Linked DNA regions of Styela clava. The protein of the gene in region 2 purifies or fractionates together with the protein of the main gene of each other region. This does not show direct contact. Links are inferred from orthologs where the notes say so. Each region holds a gene or a part of one and is shown on either strand. Other genes may lie near its edges. The genes, in order: uncharacterized protein LOC120325917 and ubiquitin thioesterase ZRANB1-like.

The links.
Region 1: the proteins of ubiquitin thioesterase ZRANB1-like (region 2) and uncharacterized protein LOC120325917 purify together in Homo sapiens (affinity purification with mass spectrometry; 4 studies listed by BioGRID and IntAct, with this or other methods). This does not show direct contact. The link is inferred for Styela clava from reciprocal best matches to the Homo sapiens genes ZRANB1 and CTTNBP2NL.

What each region holds. Positions count from the first base shown.
Region 1 is NC_135253.1:15,996,438-16,007,938, reverse strand, and holds the start of uncharacterized protein LOC120325917, read right to left. Parts: upstream 7,122-11,501; 5' UTR 6,804-7,121; coding exon 6,729-6,803; intron 6,325-6,728; coding exon 6,211-6,324; intron 6,133-6,210; coding exon 5,992-6,132; intron 5,905-5,991; coding exon 5,797-5,904; intron 4,955-5,796; coding exon 4,754-4,954; intron 4,181-4,753; coding exon 4,064-4,180; intron 2,623-4,063; coding exon 2,213-2,622; intron 1,334-2,212; coding exon 647-1,333; intron 1-646. UniProt on the Homo sapiens protein: Regulates lamellipodial actin dynamics in a CTTN-dependent manner. Associates with core striatin-interacting phosphatase and kinase (STRIPAK) complex to form CTTNBP2NL-STRIPAK complexes.
Region 2 is NC_135258.1:20,295,917-20,307,417, reverse strand, and holds the start of ubiquitin thioesterase ZRANB1-like, read right to left. Parts: upstream 5,913-11,501; 5' UTR 5,835-5,912; coding exon 4,844-5,834; intron 4,314-4,843; coding exon 4,123-4,313; intron 526-4,122; coding exon 372-525; intron 1-371. UniProt on the Homo sapiens protein: Ubiquitin thioesterase, which specifically hydrolyzes 'Lys-29'-linked and 'Lys-33'-linked diubiquitin. Also cleaves 'Lys-63'-linked chains, but with 40-fold less efficiency compared to 'Lys-29'-linked ones.

The DNA.
Region 1 (11,501 bases), on a different chromosome or scaffold from region 2:
CACTGTACACGAATAGGCTACCGATTTCATTTCAGTAGTGACCAAATATGGCAGTTGCTCATATAACAGATTTGATTGTAATTTGTAATGTTCCAGTTCCATAATGTATGGTATTATTGCGGCTCATTATTGCGGATAGACTGTCTAGACTAGCGACACATTTTTCGCAATTTATCATGCTTACACACTGGAATAAGACAGTCCGCAGGGTTAAGGGGTAAATTTTACTTCTCAAATTGGCAAATACAATAAGAAAACTCCTTTATATGTCCATCATTCGTCGCATGGAACAAACTAAAGTTATTTTATCAAGTTCAATACGTGATTTTATGAACACCTTTTATATCAGAAGAAGCGATTAGAGAAAGTGAAAGCAGAATACAATTTTTCGAGTCTCACAAATACACAATTAAGAATCGCCATATTTATATTGAAACCATGTGATCAGATTTCAAGAATTGTCAAAATTGCTGATTTTTTAGTTTCGGTATTACATAATTTAGACTCGTAAAGATACTATAACCAAAATGTACAAATTTACAGAGCGTGGGTTCGTAAATGGGTGAATTTGACTTGGATGGGTGATCCATGAAGCAAAATACAAATTTTCAAGTTAAAGAGAAGAAAAACAAATAGATGTACTCACTTATAATTGACAGGAGAAAACTTTTTAGTCTGAATTTTCTTCTCTGTCACTAAACTTTCTTTCATTGGCTTAATTAATTCAGAATCTGTTGATTTTAAAGCTATCCCATTATTTTGTTGAAACTTCAATCTTGTGGCTTGAAATTTAGGATTTGGCGATGATTTTATAGGAGTCCTTCCCGGTGATGAATTCTTCAATGCCCAGTCGGATAATTTTACAGGGGTATCTAATTTAGAAGGCGTAAATTTTTGGGGGCCTTTCACCGAAGGTGTCCGAGTGATTGAAAATGGCGACCCATGAGGTGGAGTGGGTGCATTTGGTGAGTTCATTGCAAAATTTGCAGCTCCGGACGTGGGTGACGAAGTCATAGGCGAATGGGTCTTCTCATTAAACAATGTTTGTGGACTACGAAAAGGTGAATAATGGGGTGATCCAGGGACGAATCGATTCGGCTTGGGTGGGACAGTGACACTCGGAGGTTGGGGTTTCAGATTAAGGGATAGAGATTCGGCAGTTTTATCACTGAGCATATCAGTGTACACTATATTTTGTTTTATCTCTTTGGATTTATCAGAGGTATCATTATTATTATTACAATATTCCATTTTCAGGATTTCTTTACTTTGTGCAGTTGATCTCATTGCTTCCAAACCAGCGATTGTGGAACCTGGCTTGACGCTGTAATACCTATAAAAATGATAGAATAATTATTCAGCGGAAATTCATATTGATTTTTGAAACAGGCTTAATCAAGCATTAAAATTGAACCATTTAACTGCTTCAAATGCATTTTAAACCTCAATAACAATGATTCAGATAATTTCCATATGGAGTACCATAATTACTACCTTGACATAATGTTATATGGGCCTGTATCACGTACAATCATACATGTATATAACATTGAAATTGTGCAAGTTTCATGACGTAATATCTAGAAAAATGATGATATTGGCATTTCGCAACTAATGGATACCAAATTGTAGCTATGTTATACTGTTAAATAATGTCTAGTATTTTATCACACTGACCAAGACCTGAAGTATATTTTATCCAATTTTAGACGCAGTTAAAACCTTAGGGATAAAACGCAGCTCATTGTTTCCAGTAAGTTTATTACACAAAAAACGGTATTGTTAAAGATCAATTTTAAAAATAACGAATTCTATCGAATCACCACAAACTTCAAATCCACAGCCAGTAATTGAATTGTTTAAAGCTGGTCTGGGAGTATATGTATGGTAACTTGTGCACTGTTGCTTCAAGCACAACAGAATTCAATATGACCAAAATAAGGTTAGGGACAACTGGGACACAACATATTAAGTATTCATCAGAATAAGACTTTATTTATCCCTGATTGAAATTGAAAAACTGAAAGTATAGAAAACTATGTGAGCCCGTTTCCTAAAAGATAATAATATTTGAAGATAAAATTTCCATACATGAAATATAATGGACAAAATATAATGCTAGTCAATACTTTGAATCTTTGATAAACCAAATGCTGTAAGTAAAAACTTAAAATGCCCATTGTTAGTTTATAAATCTGAAAAAAAAACGTACCCTGATGTCGTAACCCCCTCCACACCATCTGCCAGTAAAATGGGTGGGTGACTGCTGGTTGGTATGAGAGTTACATCTTGTGTATTTTGTGCCACACTCATTGGATGATGCTTAGCAAAAAAGTGCGCTACTGTATCCATATCTCTCTCAGTGTTAGAATCCAAAGATGATGTAAAAGATTGTGCTTTGCACATTTTTATAGGTAGTTCAGGTGTCATACTCTCCTCTGAATCACCGCAGGAGTATAATTCCGTAGCATGTTCAAGTGCGGTTTTAGCTGAGTTCGTTGTTTGATTTAAGTTTCTCTGAGTTGATTTTTCTTGTAAAATACGCATTTGTAATTTCAAACTGCTACAGCGGTTTTGTTCCTCTTTTAACTTGATTGCCAGGTCTTGTTTCTCTTTCAAAGCCTATTATGAAGTTGGCAATTCAATTTGAATAATAAATTTGACAGATTTGTATAAAACCATGAGTCACATTAAGATTAGAGAGATGTCCAAAACCAATAACTTACGGTACTATTCCAAATAAATTTTGAAATAATAGCTACAACTATGGAATAGCGTATTTTATTTATTCTAAACTGGGTCCCAATCAACACAGAATTATAAAATATTGTGAATTCACTGATATAAAATTTGGCAATGTAGAAAGTTTCAAATAAACATTGTTTTGATTTGTTGTTTTTATAGTGTAGGTTTTACAGTAAAACTAAGTTGTTGTTTTATGTCTGGGCATCAGATGTCAAATGCTTGGGACGATAAATTTTCAAACGAGAACTCGCGACCTACACTAAAGTCAATTCCTCCACAACTAGAAGCAAACATGTTGATAAGTAAATAAGAAGATACAACTAACCAAAAGCTATAATTACACCAGAGCATAAATTGAATGGGATAGAATCAAAAAATGCATCAAGGACTGAGGTCATTGATGGCTTTATCAGATATCATTCTAAATCACAATTTTACCAGACAATGGATAAATAAACAACAATTAAAATTGAATATTGTTACAATCTGATATGAAAGATATTGCAAAATTCTGAGTTTAAATGCCATAGTTCAAGTCATAATATGACAGAATTCCAAATGCTTATCTGAAGGACAGACATAAACATAATTTGGAATTCGCATGTCAATTCTGGTAAATGATGAATAATTCAACTAACCTAGCTCACACCATTAGCCAAATTATAGAATCTTATATCTATATAATAATCTAGAATATACAGAGTGTTCATAAGTCCTGTCACAATTTCAGTTTTGTCCAATGGAGTCAGTTCTCAATATATCTCAACCAGGTTTGTTTTACTTTAGCGAGTGTTTATTTAGGTTTTTTTACATCATTTATTACATCTTTATATACGCCCGCTATGGTATTATTCATTGGAGTCATAAACAAACTTTCTACTGAATAACAAGTACTAATAAATCTAACCAGGGATGGCCAAAACCAAATATATCACTATTTCGACTGTATTCTAGAAAATATTTTCGTATATGAAATATTCAATACATTCTAAATTGGGAGCAAGTTCATGTTGATCACATCTGAAATGACACAGATATAAAAGGTCATTGTTTTCTATGTGTTGTTTCCTACAAGTTGAGATATGGTACATTTTGATAAACTTGTCTGACAGCTCAAAAGCCCTAATGTTAAATAAAAATGTTCTAAATTCCTAAATTCAAAAATTTACTATATCCAATATAATGAATTTTGAATGTATTCAATTTGTTTTGGACATCCCTGAATCAACGATTTCAAAAATCCAAATAAAAAATACTATGTCTTAACGTTTTACCAAAGAACAATTTATCTTTATTTAATTAATTTTAGGTCAGTTACCTGATGTAATCTTGCTTGTAATTCTGTTTCTGTTGAATCTATATCAATTTGTAATTCTTTAGATTCTGTTAATTGTTGTCGCAACCTTTCTTGTTCAGCCAATAACGATACAACAATCTTAACAGTAAAAGATAGCAAACGATCAGTGAACAACATGGATTCAACTATGCAGTACACAATAAAAATTCATTACATAATAATATATGAATTAAAATAAATAAATATATAAAATGAATAAAACATATAAATTTCATTTGACACCAAAATTGAATCTATTCAGGATGTTACCAGCTGTCATTATAGGTCCCAACCCATTTTAGAATTTTGAAAAGGGGCAGTTATTTTATTAAAATTGGGGTTGACTCAACTCAAATTGAACTCGAATCACTATCCAGCAAAGACTCAAAGTGAGTCAAGCCTTCTAAATGGAATTACTCGGACCCACCAACAACTAAACGCCAGTGTGATTAGATTCAGTGGTTGACTTCACTCTGATAGCATATGACTCGACTTCGAGGTTCGAGAACTTAACACTGTTTCATAATAGCATTAAAGTGAAAAGAAGTCAGAACAAATCATCTCAATTATCGCAACAGAGTGATCAATGATAAATTGTATTACAGGCAAATTACTTTAAGAAACTTTTACTGATTGATTAGTCACTCATATTAAAATTTATTCGATTTTTACCATTTTATGTTTTGTGTTCTCTTCTTTGCATAAACCGAGCAGTTTTCTATATTCTCCTTCAATTCGTTTTGTTCTCTCTTTTTCACATAAAACACTGGCATTGAGTCTTTCTCTCTCTTTCTCAAGAGCCATAGTTACGTCATCGCCTGTCTTTGTATCAGCAGCATGTTTACGTTTTTCTTCAGCCAATTCATGAGCCATCTGAAAGTAAAAATTTGCTTGTATAATAGAATTAATGTGGCAAAGTTAAAATAACACACTTGATCCTTGAATATGATTTACGTCAAACAATGAGATAATAAAATAAACAAATTGATCTCAATCATCAGAAGAAATAACAATCATCTTAGATATGAGACATGTAGCGGCAGCATTTTGCCAAAAATTAATTTTAATGACGCTTTGAAAAAAATGTATTTCAAATTTTATTTGTGATATACAATGATTTGATTGCAATTTAGATAACTTAAAAAAATGTGGGTCTTTTGAACATTAAATGGTATTAGTACTCCTGTAACGATACGCCGGTACTTCTCTGAAACAGAATAATGAAAATTATACCATAAATGTATTGTATAAAAAGAATATTATATAAAATGAATAATATCAGCACATGGCATGGTCATCATCAATGTTCCCTCTAATTTTTTGTAGTATGTGTGCGCAGAAATTTTGGTGTGTGCACACTTTTTCGGAAAAGACTAATATTTGTGCAAAAACCAATGAAGAAATTTTGGCGTTCTAACCGGGTAATAAGTGGGCCAACAACAAACTTTCTCAACCTGCCAACCAAGCACATTGTTACATTACATCGAAATACGTCTGTGCGCAGTAAATCTATGCGTGTGCGCGGCCTCTGGAAGCTGTGTGCGCGAGCAGACGCGCACACTTTAGAGGGAACACTGGTCATCATGGATTTCTTACAATCTCAATGTAAACTTCAAATATTAAACAGTCAGTTGCTGAGTAACGTAGATATAGGTTAAACATAGTACATTAGTATGTCCCGTTCATATATGGTTTAAAACAGAAATTTAACTTACTTTTCTATGTATCTTGCTTGCAAGAGACATTTGTTGATGCATTTTCTGTTGCTGAGATTTGAATTGATAGACAACTTTTTCAAGAAGTGGTAATGGCTCGATAAAGGCCTAAAACAACAGAATTAATCCATTTACAAATAGAAATAAAACAGAAAGTAAAATATAGTCTGAAGGAAACAAAACAAAAATGATGACCTGTTCATTATAATACCGATTCTCATCATCATTTGTAGAATTTCCAGCAACATAATCATCTCTGTGTAATGATAGAAATGGATCAGTCAGTCGATGTACAAAATACTGCTGTCTCGCATTACGCTGGTTGGTGAGTTGAGCCTGAATTCAGTGATAAAAATATTGTTATGTACTTCCACTGGTATGTGAACAAAAAACTTGTTAACTTGAATTACATACCTGTAAGGCAGATATAAAGATATCTCTAGCTTCTAATTCTCCTTCTAATATACTGAGTAATCGAAGAAGATCATGCTTGCTCTTTTTCAACAGATTCATCCCTTTCTTTTTTATCTGCAATTAGTCAAGCTCTATGGTTATATGATTATTTATAAAGTAGTTCAACTTATTTCGACATGCTCATAAAAAATTTGATAGATTTTGCTTCTATGTTTGAAAGTTGGCGTCTTATTAGGTCATTTAACATTTTCCACTCAAGCCAAGTCAATTTAAAATTGAGAGGTGGAAAAACAATTCAATAAGTTATTAAACAAAACGATTGAACTAGCAAATATGGACTCACATAAAATTTAGATTACGAAACTATCAACTATTTTACTGTACTATCTTGCCACAATAAAACAAGAAAATAAGAAATAAGCACATGGCAACCAAAATTAGCACGGAAAACTATGCAATAAAAATACAGAAGTAACCAGGTAAATAAGAAAAATTATTAGAAAGTTTAGTTTTCATACCTGCGGATTATTATTCACCAGTCTGGTTTCACTGCTTTCACACTCAGAAATCGCATTGTTCTGGTTTTCATTCATGATTTTCTTATTTTAGGATCATCCACTGAATTCATTCATACATCCTTCATTTTTTATAAGTTCCTCAACATTCGAGGTAAATGTAATCCAACAATGGTTTTTCTCGGCTTACGAGGATATTGTACTCAGCAATGATCGAATTATTAGAGACATACGACAGCATTGATACTCTTCAAGCTTTATATGTGAAATTTGTCACACTCCACCTTACGCTTTTATCACCATTGGCCCACCCTTTTTGAGTCTAGATCAATTTATAACAATTTTGACTCCGCCTAATGCAAGAAACAAAACTGAAATGGAAATAAAAAAGGTTTTCATTCAAATTTGTTTATTCAATGGTGGAGGGGATTCATTTGACTGTGTAAATAATCCTATAACCAGAAAAACATGAGGTTAATAAAAAATTAAAAACACGACTAGGCCATCCTCATTACTTATTTTTCAATATTTAATTTCTAATATTGCAGTATTGATTTGAATGTTGAATTTGTATAATTAAAAGTTAAGACTTTAATTTAAAACTGAAACTCTATATCACAATTTTGAGTCCAACTACATTTTACTGTTTTCAGGTTTTATTGTAGCGGTTATACAAAAACATTAATTTGAGTTGTAAGAAAGATACGTGTCTATTTTTATGCTAAAAAAAGTAAGTTAACATCATAAAATAAATTACATGGTATAAATGAACTGAATATGACGGCAGATTCATATATAGCCTATCTCGACTTACTACAACTATACAATCAGAAAATGGTTATTGACGAAAGCAAAATAGGAAACAATTTATTCAATATACCGGTACGCAATGAAAAATTTCATCGGAATTTACGGTACTGCGGTTCGGGTCTCATGTAGTTTCGTACCTAACGTACTTCTAGTAGGCGTAGCATAACAATTTTTTCACGTGTCAATCCTAACCCCCACCTGACCACACCATCCTAAAATGACGTCACTACGACGGCACAGTGACGTAATAGAGCACTTCAAACTATGCGAACTGTCATCCAAGACGCGCAGACGAGAATCCGAAATCGAACAGTCATTTCTCTCGTTTTTTATAAGTTCCTCAACATTTGAGGTAAATGTAATCCAACAATGGTTTTTCTCGGCTTATGTCACTTCGACGTCACAGTGACGTAATAGAGCACTTCAAACTATGCTTCAAACTGTCATCCAAGACGCGCAGAAAACCCGAAATCGAACAGTCATTTCTCTCGTTTTCTCGTCGCAACGATCCGGACAGGAGAGAGATCGCTGACGTTGGTCAGTTCTTTATCGTCAGCGCCAATGCCATTTCAGGCGATCGTACGAGTATTTAGCAAGCTCTATGACATGATGAAATAAACTTGACTTGTCTCGACTGTCTGTCGGGTCTAGTATAGTTTAGTACCACAAGTACTTCCAGTGGGCGTAGCATAATGAATTTTGCATATGTTATTCCTAACCCCTACCTGACTATGCTACCAAAAAATACGTCACTACGACGTCACCATCGCGTCATAGGGCTTGCCAAAGTATAATTAACATCGCCCGAAATGGCATATGCGCCGCCGGTAACGAACTCGCTAACGCCGGCGATCTCTCTCCTATCGTGATCGTTGTGGCGAGCTATCGAGAGAAATAGCTTGCTCGATTTCGGGTGATCGTCTGCGCGTTTTGGACGACCATCCGCATACTTTGGTGGGCCATAATACAGTAATACGCCACTGTGACGTCGAAATGACGTAATTTTTCAGTGACGTAGTTAGGTGGGGGTTAGGATTGACATATGCAAAAATTGTCGAGCCAGGTCAACTTGAAGTACGTGTGGTACTAAACTATACCAGACCCCTGTCTGTCTTCCATTTACCGTACCGTACCGTAGAACTACTACCGTACTACAAGCAACTAACTGGACTGAAGCTACATAACATATTTTGAACCACACAGCCAAATTTCTTTTTTTTTTCTTTTTTTTTGCCAAATAAATTCCATTGCCAAACGGAATTTTCGTATATTAATTTTATTGTCGAATTAGTATAATTTGCACCCAATTAAACAATTTCATAATTTCAAAACACATTGCCCACAAGTTCAATAATATATGTAACAATTAAAATATAAAACCATACCATTACCGGAGTTTTGTATCATATATAGTCCAATTTATATCCATTGAATACCAAAGTTACCCTAGCAGACATCTCTCTCGTTTTAGGAACGGTAGAATAGGGTTGCCAGAAAACGATTTAACATTGCGTATAAAACAAGCTGCGGAAAATATGAATGCTGGGTGAAATTCAGTTGCCAGATTTATGACCGATTATAATCACTGCTTTCCGTATTCCACGTAAACTTTCGTAATTTTCAATTGCCGGCCACATTTATAAAAGTGATAAAAAGGAAAACACATAATACCATCATCTCGATCAAAGTTTAATAGACTTTGTATGTCGGAAAAATGATATGATTTCTTGTCAAACATGGCCCAAACAAGAATTATACATCAAAATCACTAAATATCGGTAATACACCCAAAAATTCTGCACTTTCCGATGACGGGCCCCACTTTTAGATAAGATATCTCAAAAGAGCATATTGTAAAGTCATCTCGAACTAAGTTTCATAAAATTTGTATGGGGGGAAGATATAATAATATCTTCTCAAACATGGCCCAAACAAGAATTTTACATTGAAATCAATAAATATCGGTATTAAACCCAAAAATTCTGCACTTTTCGATTACGTGCCCCACTTTTAGATAAGATATCTCGAAAGAGAATATTGTAAAGTCATCTCGATCCAAGTTTTATAAAATTTGTATGGGGGAACCTATAATAATATCTTCTCAAACATGGCCCAAACAAGAATTTTACATCAAAATCACTAAATATCGGTATTGCACCCAAAAATACTGCACTTTCCAATGACGTGCCCCACTTTTAGATAAGATATTTATGAAAATATTGTTCGTTTTTTCCAGTTATTGTGGCGTAATGAATCAAAAAATAATTATTAGAAGCCGGTAACAAAATGAGTTTTACACAGTGTAATGTATTGAAATTATAATGATGATTCGTGCAAATGTTAACATATGCTAACAAAAATTATTTTTAGACAAAAATCCCGAATCTACACAAATAACTACTGAAAGCATATGTATGTATGACTTTTCCTTGTTTTTGAAGAATGATTTCCCCGCTGTAGGTTCTTCTGTTGGAACTGGGACAAAATTAATCCCTACTTCTAGTAGATCGATTTCTCGACGAAGGAAAAATATCATCTGGAAGCCCTTCATCTTCGACTCTGTTTCATCCTTCAGCACTCAGTCCCACCCACCCCCCGTATCTTTGGTGTTCTATGCCAGTGTGGTTGCTCGGCCAAAAACTTCAGTTTCTTTGCAACCAGCGCCATGTTTGCGTTCCTCTCATTCCCGACCATCTTACGCAGCTGTACTTTCTCGTGGACTTCGTAAAGCCTGTCCAGACGTGGTTATCGAACCCGTTTCATCATATTTGAAGACCAATTCTTCTGCACCGTGCGGCTCCGAAACCATCATTTCAAGGAGCCCAACTCTGGGAAAGTCGTCGTCTGACGTTTCCGGCGATTTTAAGATTGTGAAGAGTAGACGGGCAACGAAGACGAAAATTGCTCAGAAGATTGTACCAATGAAGAAGACGGCGGGCCAATCTCGTCAAATTGTGGCCCGTACAAATGATGTACGTTCAGACTCTTCATTTTGTCTTCTTCACACTACTTCTTTGTCAAAACAACATCGCCGAAAGGTCTCTACGGCCTCATCTTTCACTACTTCTGTCGTTTCTACTGGGGCTATTTCTGATATTACTATGCGGCCAAAACATACTAGCAGGTCTTTTTTCTCCTCCTCCCTCTTTTAGTAGCTCTGATAAAGTTAAAAGTAATTGTCCCATTCCACGGAAGAAGTTACAGAGATCATCTTCGCCTGATAAAAATTCTTACCCTTCTTTAATTTATAAACAGCCGGGCGGTGTGTTTTCCAAAAACAAATTGTCAACTCAGTCGTTGGTAACTGCAATAAATGATATGGGATCATTTAATCCAAATTCCCGAGCAGACTGGAGCAAATTAGCAAAACTAATTTGGAACAAAAAAATTGCCAAAGGTGAATTGAAAAATTATATTCGAAAATTGCGACATTTTTGGAACAATAACTCAAAAAAACTGAAAATCAATGAAAATTCATTTCCGTACACATCAGGCGATGGAGAATTTAAAAATACCAAAAGGGATGACCATTCTTCTGATTTTCATTCTGAAATTAAAATTAGCAATTAAAAAAGAAAGCACACTGCCTACGTCCCTGGAAGAGAGCTGTGATAACAAATTGAAGCAGGTTAGTAACAATTCATACATATTTTTAGACGCGCATGGAACTGATTTTGATGTAGGTGCGCAAAGCTCAGTGCAAGCCCATGGTATTTGGAAACGTGAAAATCCAATAAAAAATGCAAAATTTAAAATGAACACCAAAAATTGGAACAGTCTTTTCAACTCCGTTGCTGGGCGAAAAATAAAAAATTCTAATTGGGCTGATGTTTTTAGAAAAGCTATCAAAGAGAGTGACCCTTACTGTTCATATGCATTTCGATGGCACACAGTAAATTCTGGAATATTGGCAAATCGTATTTTTGCTTGCAGTGGGCATTGTTGCTTCACAGGTTGCTGTCGCAA
Region 2 (11,501 bases):
TTTTCAGTCCAATGCCATATAACTGCATTTGGGCTGATACTTAGAGTAAAGTTTAAAAAATTAAGCTTCAGTTTGGTTCTGAAGCCACCATTTGAATATACTCCAATCTGTCAGCTTCCCAGCTCTGGCTGTTACGAAGAAAACTTTGGTACCAAATGTAAATTTTTGATAATTAAGTCACTTTATTTTAAATTGATATAAGAGGTATTCAAAAGTATTCTTATGACCAATTTTAAATTTTTTCATGTGGAATTTCCTTGTTCAAATTGAAACCTTTGTATTTTATTTTGACCTGTATTGACTCATTCAAATTTTAAATAATTTGTTTATAATTTTATTTATAGAATTAAATATGATCATATCAAACTCACCAATTGGCAAAAGAAAAGTTAAATAATCACAAAAATATTGACAGTGAAAATCGCCTTTCATCATTCGGATACTTTGTAAAATTTCATGGCGAATATGATCTGCAATTTCTGGACATAATATGGCTGGACTTCGTTTCAAATTTCTCTTGGTGACCTGGAAACAAAAAGAATAATATTGTGATTTCAATGAAAACTACATTAGAGACATTGTGAAAAGTAAATTTACGTTTACAGGATGATCAAACTAATTTTGCAGCAGTAAAACCAAATTAGCTAATCTCCCAATTTTCGACACTCCAGGAGTGTGTGTACCAATATGGAAGTAAATAATTCTGTTCGCCTATTTTACATCAAGTTGTGTAAAGAGAATGAAACGTATGGGCAGGGGGTATTTTTCACTTGGCTAACACAGACAGTCCCCCAACTCGCAATAAAAAAGACTAAAATAAAGAAAATCTAAATAAAATTATTGCCTAACACTAACCTGGTACACACACTACAGGAGTACCCAATTTTCTGCGGTTATGGACCACGGGTCATAATTTGGTCTGGGTTTCAAAGCCAGTTTTGATTTTAGGAAGACGCTTATGTTCATTTTTACTACTACAAAATAGGAATTTCTCAAAAATGTGACACAAGCATATTTAGTTCTACTGCAGATTTGATATCAATATATAGTTTGAATACTTTTTTAGCTTAAACTGGATAACTTACATTTACTTACACAACACACTAGTAACTATTCAATATAATTTATTGTTATTACACCATCACTTCCATAAAAGAAGCAAGATGTAAACCTCAAACAATACGGTATTAAAGAATTCTACGAGCATGTGCGTACTATGACCGACATTATTACATGGTTTATTAACAAATCCAGCATATTCCCATCCTTTTGCAAATTATTTACATCAGTTCTATTTGTTTGTTCTTTGTTCTATTTCCCAGGGGAAGTTACCTATACAAGCAGCTATACATCAAGATTATTTTTGGAATGTTAATTTTCACCATTGATATGATATGATTATATTCAGTAACCTGGTCATTTGTTCAATATTCATTATAAGATAGTATGGACATTGACGTACTGCCTCTATCAATTAATAAATATTTTAAATGTTTTTAAAAACACAATCTAATGAACACCTCTTAATCACAGAGTCAAAATGAAATTATTAAAATAGTATATTTTAAAAAATACTGAAATACAATCTGTGAATCTGTACTATATACAATCTGTTTATATAATAACAGTGTGGTGAAGTCATGACTTTGTTTATCACAATCACACAATGCATGATGTACCAGTTCACAGGTATGTGTCAGTACACCAAAAATACCTTTTTATAGCACACAATTAGCCATTAAATTAATGAAATAGATGGAGCAGTACCTTGCTTCACTGACTTTACAATCAATAAAATGCTTTCATAATAAAGAGAGAGAAAGATAGAATGAGAAATGAGTTTCTAAAAAGCAGAGACACTTGACACCTCATTAATTATTCGATGACATATTGGCAAGGTTAAAAGAGCATTAAAAAGAGAGGATAAAGTTTTCAAACAAAATTGTAACCTTCGCTAAGCGGTGATTATATTATTATAAAACATTCATACACGGTCCAGAAATAAAATTTACAAAGCAACAGCTGTTCATAAGGCCACACTCGATCCAGTGTTATAAGATCAAGAATAATAAGTTTTCACATAAACAAAACGAACAAAGAACCACAATTATGTTTAGCATAAGGTAATCACTCTCCACTGAACACTGTGCCATCAATGTCTTTTCAATTCACAGAATCAATAAATAGAAATATCATTCATACAAAAATTTTGATCAATTTCCATTCTCATTTCACACATAATATACGGTAAGCTAATTATCTCAAATGAACGAAATGTGAACCATAGCAATTCGAAAATTAACTAGATTCAAATCATGTACAGAAGTGAAACTCAATTTTAAAGAGATTGCTTTTTTATTTATCTTACTATTCACACATAAAAAAGTAAAATAAAATTGCATCGCAAAACACTACTGCGAACATTTATGTAAACCAATCCCACAACACAACCACAAGTAACATAGATGTTTGAATTATTTAATATTACACCCAAAGTAATATTATAAGGTGTGCAGTAGCATCAAGTAACTGAACGAGTTGAAGTTACCTTTTAGTCAATGAAAGCAATATACCAAATATGAACAATTTTTTTTGTCCTGCGTTAAATTAGTGCTGCAATTAAGTATACCCAAGGAAAGAAACAGACAGACAGCTGGAACACAACGTAAGTGATCACTATACTATTTCTAATAAAAATTATGACATATAAATTATCCAGATTATAACATTATAAACTATTTTGGTTCTTTTTGTTAGTATTTAGTAAGGACCATTTGGCTTATAAAATTTTCAAGTTTATAATTTTAGAAATACATTGGACCATAAGAAACATGTTGTCATTAAAATACTGACAACTGGTCATTATAGGCAAATCAATTCCAGCACCAAACCTGATTTTAGGCACAGAGAAAAATTATCGGACAATGATGAATTGAGATGTCATAACCTAAATGAGTGTACGTGTCGAATGAGCTGATACAAGTTATCAAGAACACTAGATTTCCAAAAAGTAGGACTGCATACATCACATGTAGGGAGTTTAGTTCACGATTTCTAATTTTATATCTAAATATTAAACTTTTAATAACAAGAGGAACAAATAAGGAAAAATTTGTTCCAATATTCATTCATGTACCACAAACATAATATTGAGTCACATTCAGAATCAACCCTGTAATTACTTGAATCGATAAAAGGAACTGAAATTCGATAAGTAGTATGATGTGACCATGGGAACATAAGTTAAGTAGCATACATCTTACATAACAAGAAATATTTTTTCAGTTTTATTTAATTTGATATATTTATTTAATACTTGATAATGAGAACAGGCTGATAAACTTTTCGATTAGAAAAACCACATTTTTTAATCAAGTTCGTTAATAAATTTAAACTATTCAATAATGAATTTGTATCTACATATACACAATGTCCATGTTTTAATGTAATCTAATGCAGTAGAAAATTCAAGTTTTGAAAATGTTCAACATTTTTCTACTCGCAAACAGGACAGAACCACAGTAATAAAGTTTATCTGGAAACTCAGTAACGTTAATAAACAGAAAATTCACACAAAATATAGTGATGCTCATATTTAGATAATTTGAAATGCTAGAATTATTTTTGGCAAATAAATTCGAAATACTTTAAACTATAAACCCGTTTTGATAGTCTGTATTATAAAACTGTGCAGCTTTTTCGATGTAATTTTTAATCTTCTTTTAATAAGTAGCCATTTCGAAATCTTTATAGATAGACGATCTAATATAGAAGCTGATGTAATCTTATTTAATAGCCCTGCAACGACTGTAAATATAGTTAACTACTTCCAATGACACACACACACACACTCCAATATTTTTAAACAAATATTTGCTTTGAATTATAACTCCTGGAAACATCACAAGATTTGTCATCATGATGGGAAGGAATATCATTTAGGATGCGTTTTATCAACGAATAGAGAGATGATAGGCTGATAGCATAGCATTTAGCCTTGCTCTGTTATTTGTACAGAAACTGTAGTCATAGTATTGTTTTATAAATATTACAGATTCTCTCATCTGCTTACTTTCCATACTAAAAAAGAAAGTTTAAAATAAGAAAATAGAAATATCTTACCTCTGGGGTTAAAATAAGTGCAAGGATATTGCGGCGTTGAAATCTGACGGCAAGATGTACAATAGTATGTCCAACATCAAATGCAGAAGGTCTGTTCAAAATTCTCACTTCATCAGCTGTTAAAGGTCTCGCAATATTTCCACCATATGCTAGATACCTATCAACTGCTTCAATATTGTCTTCAAGAATACCTAAGCACAAAAAAAATGATGAAATGAGGATTCATACAAATAGATAATTTAATGATAATGATTCTCTAATCCACTTTATATAATTCTAATAATTCGTACAATTGTTCAAAGAGACCTTCATTCCCAAATTCACAGTTTAACGTAGTTTTCAAAATCTTGTAGAACACAACCCTCTCAATATGAGACTACCATTTTTCGTGAAATAATTATACAATATATTCAGAAAATAGGAATATAGCAGATGGCTATAAAACATGTTGTTAGTGTTAAAATTCAACAACCAAGTCAATAAACTATATATCTTCAAACGTATATGATAACCCCAAGAATCGTTGACAGAATCCATAAATGAGATTTCATCTGATTAGTAAATTATGAATGAAAATAAGGTGCGAAATAAAAGTGACTGAAGAATTAACTATTATGTTCATCCCACAATTGTAGTTGAAATAATGTAATTAGTTAATCTAAACTAATCAATGATTGTAAATTTCCATATGCTAATAAATATATATCAGTTCATTACCCACCTATGCAGGCTTTGAGAAAAAGCAAGTTTAATCTTTTGTTCGATTTTTTCCAAGATCTATGTTCATGTTCACGAGTTTTTGTAAATTTTTCCAAATGACCTATTGCTTCTTCATGTTTCCAAGTATTACTTACTCCTTCGTTAGAAAAATGCCTCCCTTTCTTTTCTGCCCTTTGACAAGAAGCAGAATCCTGAGCATTCATTATATTATTTAAATTTTCCTCACTGAAAGATTTTTTATGTCTATGCAATGCCCTTGTATTTGTTAAAGTGGGGCTCATTGAGTCCTGGCAACGAAAAGCATGGTTTGAAGAATAGCTTCGACAAAGTCGTCCACAAGCTCCTGGCTGTGAGCTACAGGTTTTGGAGTTTACAGATCGAGGTTTGTCTTGTGTGATTTCATCTCTGACAATTTGTTTCGGGCGATTTAAAATCAATGATTTATGTTCATCTTCGTGAATTGGTTGAATTGGATTTTCAATAATCCGATCACTTGCAGCCAATTTGGGATAATGGCACATGACACACTTAGCTGATCTATCCCAATTGTTATAAGTGCATGAAGTACAAATCCATTTTTTGTTAATTTCATTATTTTTATCCGCAATATTTGCTGCCTGATTGTCACTAAGAGAAGCAGAAGCTGCACCAGCACCATCTACAGGCACGTTATAGTTTGAGGAGAAAGATGGCATTTCATCTGCGTTAGTAATACGAGCTTTGGATTCAAATTCCCTAGTAAATGTATCATAATAATTATCTGCGTTAACAGAGCATCCATGGCTTATTACTGCAGGGTCTAGTCCTTGAAGACTTGTCCTTTGAATAACGGAGTTTTGTTCTGTGGGATAGTTTGTGATGACGTCTGTAGATGACCGAGGTTCGTCGATTAAAGGTGTGGGACATTGTTGACAACACATAACACAATTCAGGGACGCAGGATAATTTTCATACGTGCACAAACCACAAGTCCATTTTATTGACTTGCTCATCTCCACCTAATTAAATCCAGATATAGTCAAGCTTATTAACTGGATATATCTGAAAAATTTGCATTGAAATTACTGAATTATAATGAATTCTTACGCCAGGAATAGAGCTAAGATCTGAAGCCCGAGTTCAGGTCGGGCCTGAAATGACAATTATTACGTTCGGGTTGGGCTTCTCTATCGCTGACTTTTTTAAATAAATATATATTTATAAAAAATAAATACTAAAACTATTTGTGGATACTAAAATAAGGAATACTTGTTATGAAAGAAATAATTTGAATAAAACAGAGAAGAAGCTTTAATGGACCTTTCCCCGGTCAGGTTTAATACCCACGGGCCCGTTTCGGGTGGGGCTGGATTTTTCGTGCCCAATCTTACCTCTAGCCAGGGTTTCTCACTAACTGACAAGGAAATGGACCAGATTTGGTCGCTGTTAAAAATAAGATATCCATGATATGTTGAATCTGTTCGTGAAATGTAACATTTGATAGCAGAACTGCTAAGTCCATTTTATCCTACAGTCCTAAGCTTGTGAAGGGAGCTTACTAAAAATACAGGTATATTGTGACTTTCTATGCTGCTATAGAAGTGATCATTTAAAAAAGTAAGGCATTTGTTGTAATTTGTTGAATTCAGGAAGTAGCAAAGACGCCGATTTATGTAGTTGTTAATCTTATGTCCAATGAGTTTCATTTTGAATAATGGGTAAACCAGGGGTAAAAAACTTTATTTAATAACACCCTAAATTTTTTTGATTCTTGTACAGTTGTAAGTCCCAAAATGAATAATTTTACAAAAAGAAAAGATAACGAAGTAAAAGAAAAAAAAGAAAAGCTCGAAAAGTTGTAGTGAGTGAATATGACTCTGATTACATTAAATGTGGATTCATTGAGGCAGGAAATGACTTTGAGCCAAAAGCACAATGTGTTGAGTGTCAGTGATATGTCGCCTGTGAGGTTGTCTCCTATCAAGCCTTGTCTTGATCTGATAATATCCGATATGCAAGCTCAAGTTTTGTTTTAATAAGTCTGAAAGTGGGTTGCAAACTGAAAAAGGTGAATGAACAACATGCTAAGATCAGACTGAACTAGTACACTAATAATCAGCAATGAAAAAAAAAACAGAACAGTTTAATTAATAATGTTACACGGCTATCTGCATATATCAGTATGCTGGTGAGCAATATTTCTGTAATATTATTTGACTGTTGCATCATCATTTTTAATTTTGCCGATTTCTGGTTTTTGTTGCACTGTTTGAAAAAACTGGAAAGAGGGGAATCTATCATATTTGACTCAATTATCCTTGGAGACTGAGAGGAGTCAGGAAGTTGCATGTGAAATATTAACCACTGAACAAAAATAGAAATGCTGAATTGAATGATTATATTACAATATTACATAAAATTATAACTAAACAGGTTTTAGCTTTTTTGTTGCTTTTTTTGCTATTTTGCTGCCGTAACCACGAAAGGTCGGCCCTAAAGACAGGGGTGGCCCTGATGGTGACAAACCGTATTTCTCCGTGTATAATACGCAGGGCTTTTTTAGGATGTGGATTGTATGAAAATACCAAGTTCCATGCATAATACGCATGGTCGAATTCAGTCACTTGCGTCGACCGCATTTGGTATTTTCGAGAAGCCAGCCTAGCAAGTTTCACTGTGATTTAATAATATGTTTCAAGTGTTTATGACGTCAACTCGTTAGTGTCTGTCAATCTCGGAGTTCTGTTACCCGGCTTTGAATTATCGTGCTGTTATCTATCTTAGAGCATTTTGAAAATGGTTGAGAAAAGAGATTTGTGAGCGTTAGGTTTGCCGATTGGTCAAATTGAGAGAAATGAAACAAGCCGCAAATCCGAGTGAGAAAAAATGATTTAGGAACATTCAGTTTTGCCGATACGGCAAAACAGAAATGAGGGACGCCAGACTGAACAACAACAATTAAATTATCGATTTAAAGTGACGTTCCTATCACTTATATACACTGGTTATTGAAATAGATGTGTTGTCCTTTGTTAGACAAGATAGTCCAGTAGTCCATTCCGTGGGTGTGATTCTACTGCAACAAGCATGATCTGGTTATAACGGACTTTGTCACATAAAATAAATAGAAGACGGAAAGGAAACATGTGTATTTGGCAATTGCGAGTAAAATATCAATCAGGATTTTTTGAAAGACTTCTATACCAATGTATAATGCGCCCCCCTAATTTGGGAGATAAAATATGGAACCGGAAGTGTGTATTATACACGAAGAAATACGGTACCGGTAAGTTGGAACATTTTTTTAAAGATAGTTTTGATGGATTTGGGGTTAGATTTAAGTTTTAAGTCAGTAAGTAGATATAATTCCGCATGATAAACTAAAATCTGATACCGGTACATAACTTTGTGAATATACCAGTAATAGAGTAGCGCCATGAACCAGTAAACCATGGCAAGAGACAGACAGACGCATAACTTTGTGAATATACCAGAAATAGCAAGTGCAGTTTCAAGTATTTTGTGGCGTCTACAGCTGCCGCAAAACCATGGCGGGATTTCCAAACCACGGCCACTAAGACCAAACCCACGGGGACTGACTTTTTAGCTGCCACAAACCAATAGCGAGCTGCCGTGGTTACGGCAGCAAATCGAATACCACCAATTTTACTGCCGTAACCACGGCAGGTCGGCTGTAATAGCAGGGCTGCCCCCAATCTGCTGATTGTGATAAATATTTGGTGAGTTGGAATGTTTTTCTTATGGATACAGTTTGGATGGATTTGGGGTTAGGGTTAGAGTTTAAGTAGATATAATTTCGCATGATAAACTAAAATATGGTACATAAATTTGCAAATATACCGGTAATAGCGCCATAAAACCATGGCAGGAGACGGCGTGGTACGTTCGTGGCAGGAGCTGCCATGAAGTGGTAAGAACTGCGTCTCAGAAATAGACTAGCGCCATGAACCAGTAAACCATGGCAAGAGACAGACAGACGCCGCGGTTCGTTCGTGCAGGAGCTGCCATGAATTCAGGAATTGGTAAGAACTGCGACTCTACAGTCCTAGATCCTGTAGCTCTGCGGGTGACAGTGTACCGTATGTACTGGTATAGACAGTACCTACCGTACTGGTACCGGTATAGAGTGAGCAGATGCCACAAGTCAAAATAATCACTACCGGTAAACAGTAAAGGTAACTGACTAACGCTCAAAGTCTGCTGAAAATTGGCTACCGCGGCGTCTGTCTGTCTCTTGCCATGGTTTACTGGTTCATGGCGCTAGTCTATTTCTGGTATATTCACAAAGTTATGCGTCAGTACTGTAACAGCTGAACAGTGTACGGTAACTAACTAACTACTGCAGTCAGGCTGTACCGGGCTATACCGGTACAGCTACAGGTACCGGTATCTTATTAAACTACAGAACTAGTACCGGTACTGTAGTACGAAAGTCTGAAAGTTGATAAGATGGGTCTCCCAAAGTACCGGTACCGGTACCGGTACGCGCCCACAAGTACGGTACCGGTACCTCCAGTTAGCCTGGCTCAACAAATTTTGCATATGTCATTCCCAAACCCCCACCTGACGTCATCCAAAAAAGTCATAGTGACGTACGGTATACAGTAATAAGGCCCTCCAAAGTATAGGTACAGATGGTCGTCAGTCTAAGTTGCTCTATTAAACTAAAACGCGCAGGCCGCAGACGATAATCCGGAATCTAGCAAGCTATTTCTCTCGTTTTCTAGTCATAGCGATAACAAGACAAGAGAGAGATCGCTGCCATTAGTGAACGCTGGAGGGGGGGGGGATATTATATGCAAAAATCATTATGCTACGCCCACTAGGAGTACTTGCCATTTTTTCTATGCTGGAATGAAATACCGACACATGGATGTGGACCGTGGATTAATCAATAAGTCTTTATTCTTTCCAACGTCGTTTTGCCCGATAGTTATAGTACTATTTGATATTGTTCCGTTTTTAAAAAATCGCCTCCGTTTATGTATTTGCAAGCTTTTGATTATTGGACACGTAGTGGACATAACGATCGTTTCAATATTATGTTGGTTTTGTTGTTGTTTTTTGACACTTTTTGGACATCTAGTGGAAAATCTAAAAAAACGCTTTTCTCTTTCATTACTGGACGGATTGCTTCGATTTTTACTGGTTAAAGATGAAATTTTGGGGCTCCCGAAGTATGCGAACCAAGATGGCGGACATCAGAATGTAATATGTGTACTAGGTTAGGGTTAGGCCTTAATTTTAGATATAAATACTACGGGAGGCTCTTGGCTAGTCTTCGAACTGATAATAGGACTAGAATAAGGAAAATTGGAAAAAAATTATCGCCTAACCCTAACCTGTTACCCATGTTACGTTCCGATGTCCGCCATCTTGGTTCGCATACTTCGGGAGCACCGTTTTATATTGCTCCTTCCTGCAAGTTACAAAATAAATGATGACGGTAATCTATGTTTTTTATTGAAATTTTTCTTAGTTGGCAACCCTAGTATGAATAAACGGTGCTCCTGAAGTATGCGCACCAAGATGTCTTTTTTTTTATTTTATTTTATTTTTTTAATTTATAAATGAAACAATATTGTATAACTGATATCATTATATGCAAAAAAATAATTTATCACAATGTACAATATTGCAAAGAATACCATTAATCGATACAAATACCGGAACAAAAAGTAATTTCTCAAAATCAGGAGCACCGTTTATTCATACTAGGGTTGCCAACTAAGAAAAATTTCAATAAAAAACATAGATTACCGTCATCATTTATTTTGTAACTTGCAGGAAGGAGCAATATAAAACGGTGCTCCCGAAGTATGCGAACCAAGATGGTGGACATCGGAACGTAACATGGGTAACAGACTAACAGGTTAGGGTTAGGCGATAATTTTTTTCCAATTTTAGTCCTATTATCAGTTCGAAGACTAGCCAAGAGCCTCCCATAGTATTTATATCTAAAATTAAGGCCTAACCCTAACCTAGTACACATATTACATTCCGATGTCCGCCATCTTGGTTCGCATACTTCGGGTACTAAGCGACAAAAGTTATACCGGTACATTACCATCAGAGTTGTTTAATAATAACCCATGTTTCTGTGTTTTGTTGCTATACGAAAAGACAATCAAATTTTTTATTTCACCATAGGAAGGAGCAATATAAAACGGTGCTCCCGAAGTATGCGAACCAAGATGGCGGACATCGGAACGTAACATGGGTAACAGGTTAGGGTTAGGCGATAATTTTTTTCCAATTTTCCTTATTCTAGTCCTATTATCAGTTCGAAGACAGGGGCTCCCGAAGTATGCGAACCAAGATGGCGGACATCAGAATGTAATATGTGTACTAGGTTAGGGTTAGGCCTTAATTTTAGATATAAATACTACGGGAGGCTCTTGGCTAGTCTTCGAACTGATAATAGGACTAGAATAAGGAAAATTGGAAAAAAATTATCGCTTAACCCTAACCTGTTACCCATGTTACGTTCCGATGTCCGCCATCTTGGTTCGCATACTTCGGGAGCACCGTTTTATATTGCTCCTTCCTGCAAGTTACAAAATAAATGATGACGGTAATCTATGTTTTTTATTGAAATTTTTCTTAGTTGGCAACCCTAGTATGAATAAACGGTGCTCCTGAAGTATGCGCACCAAGAT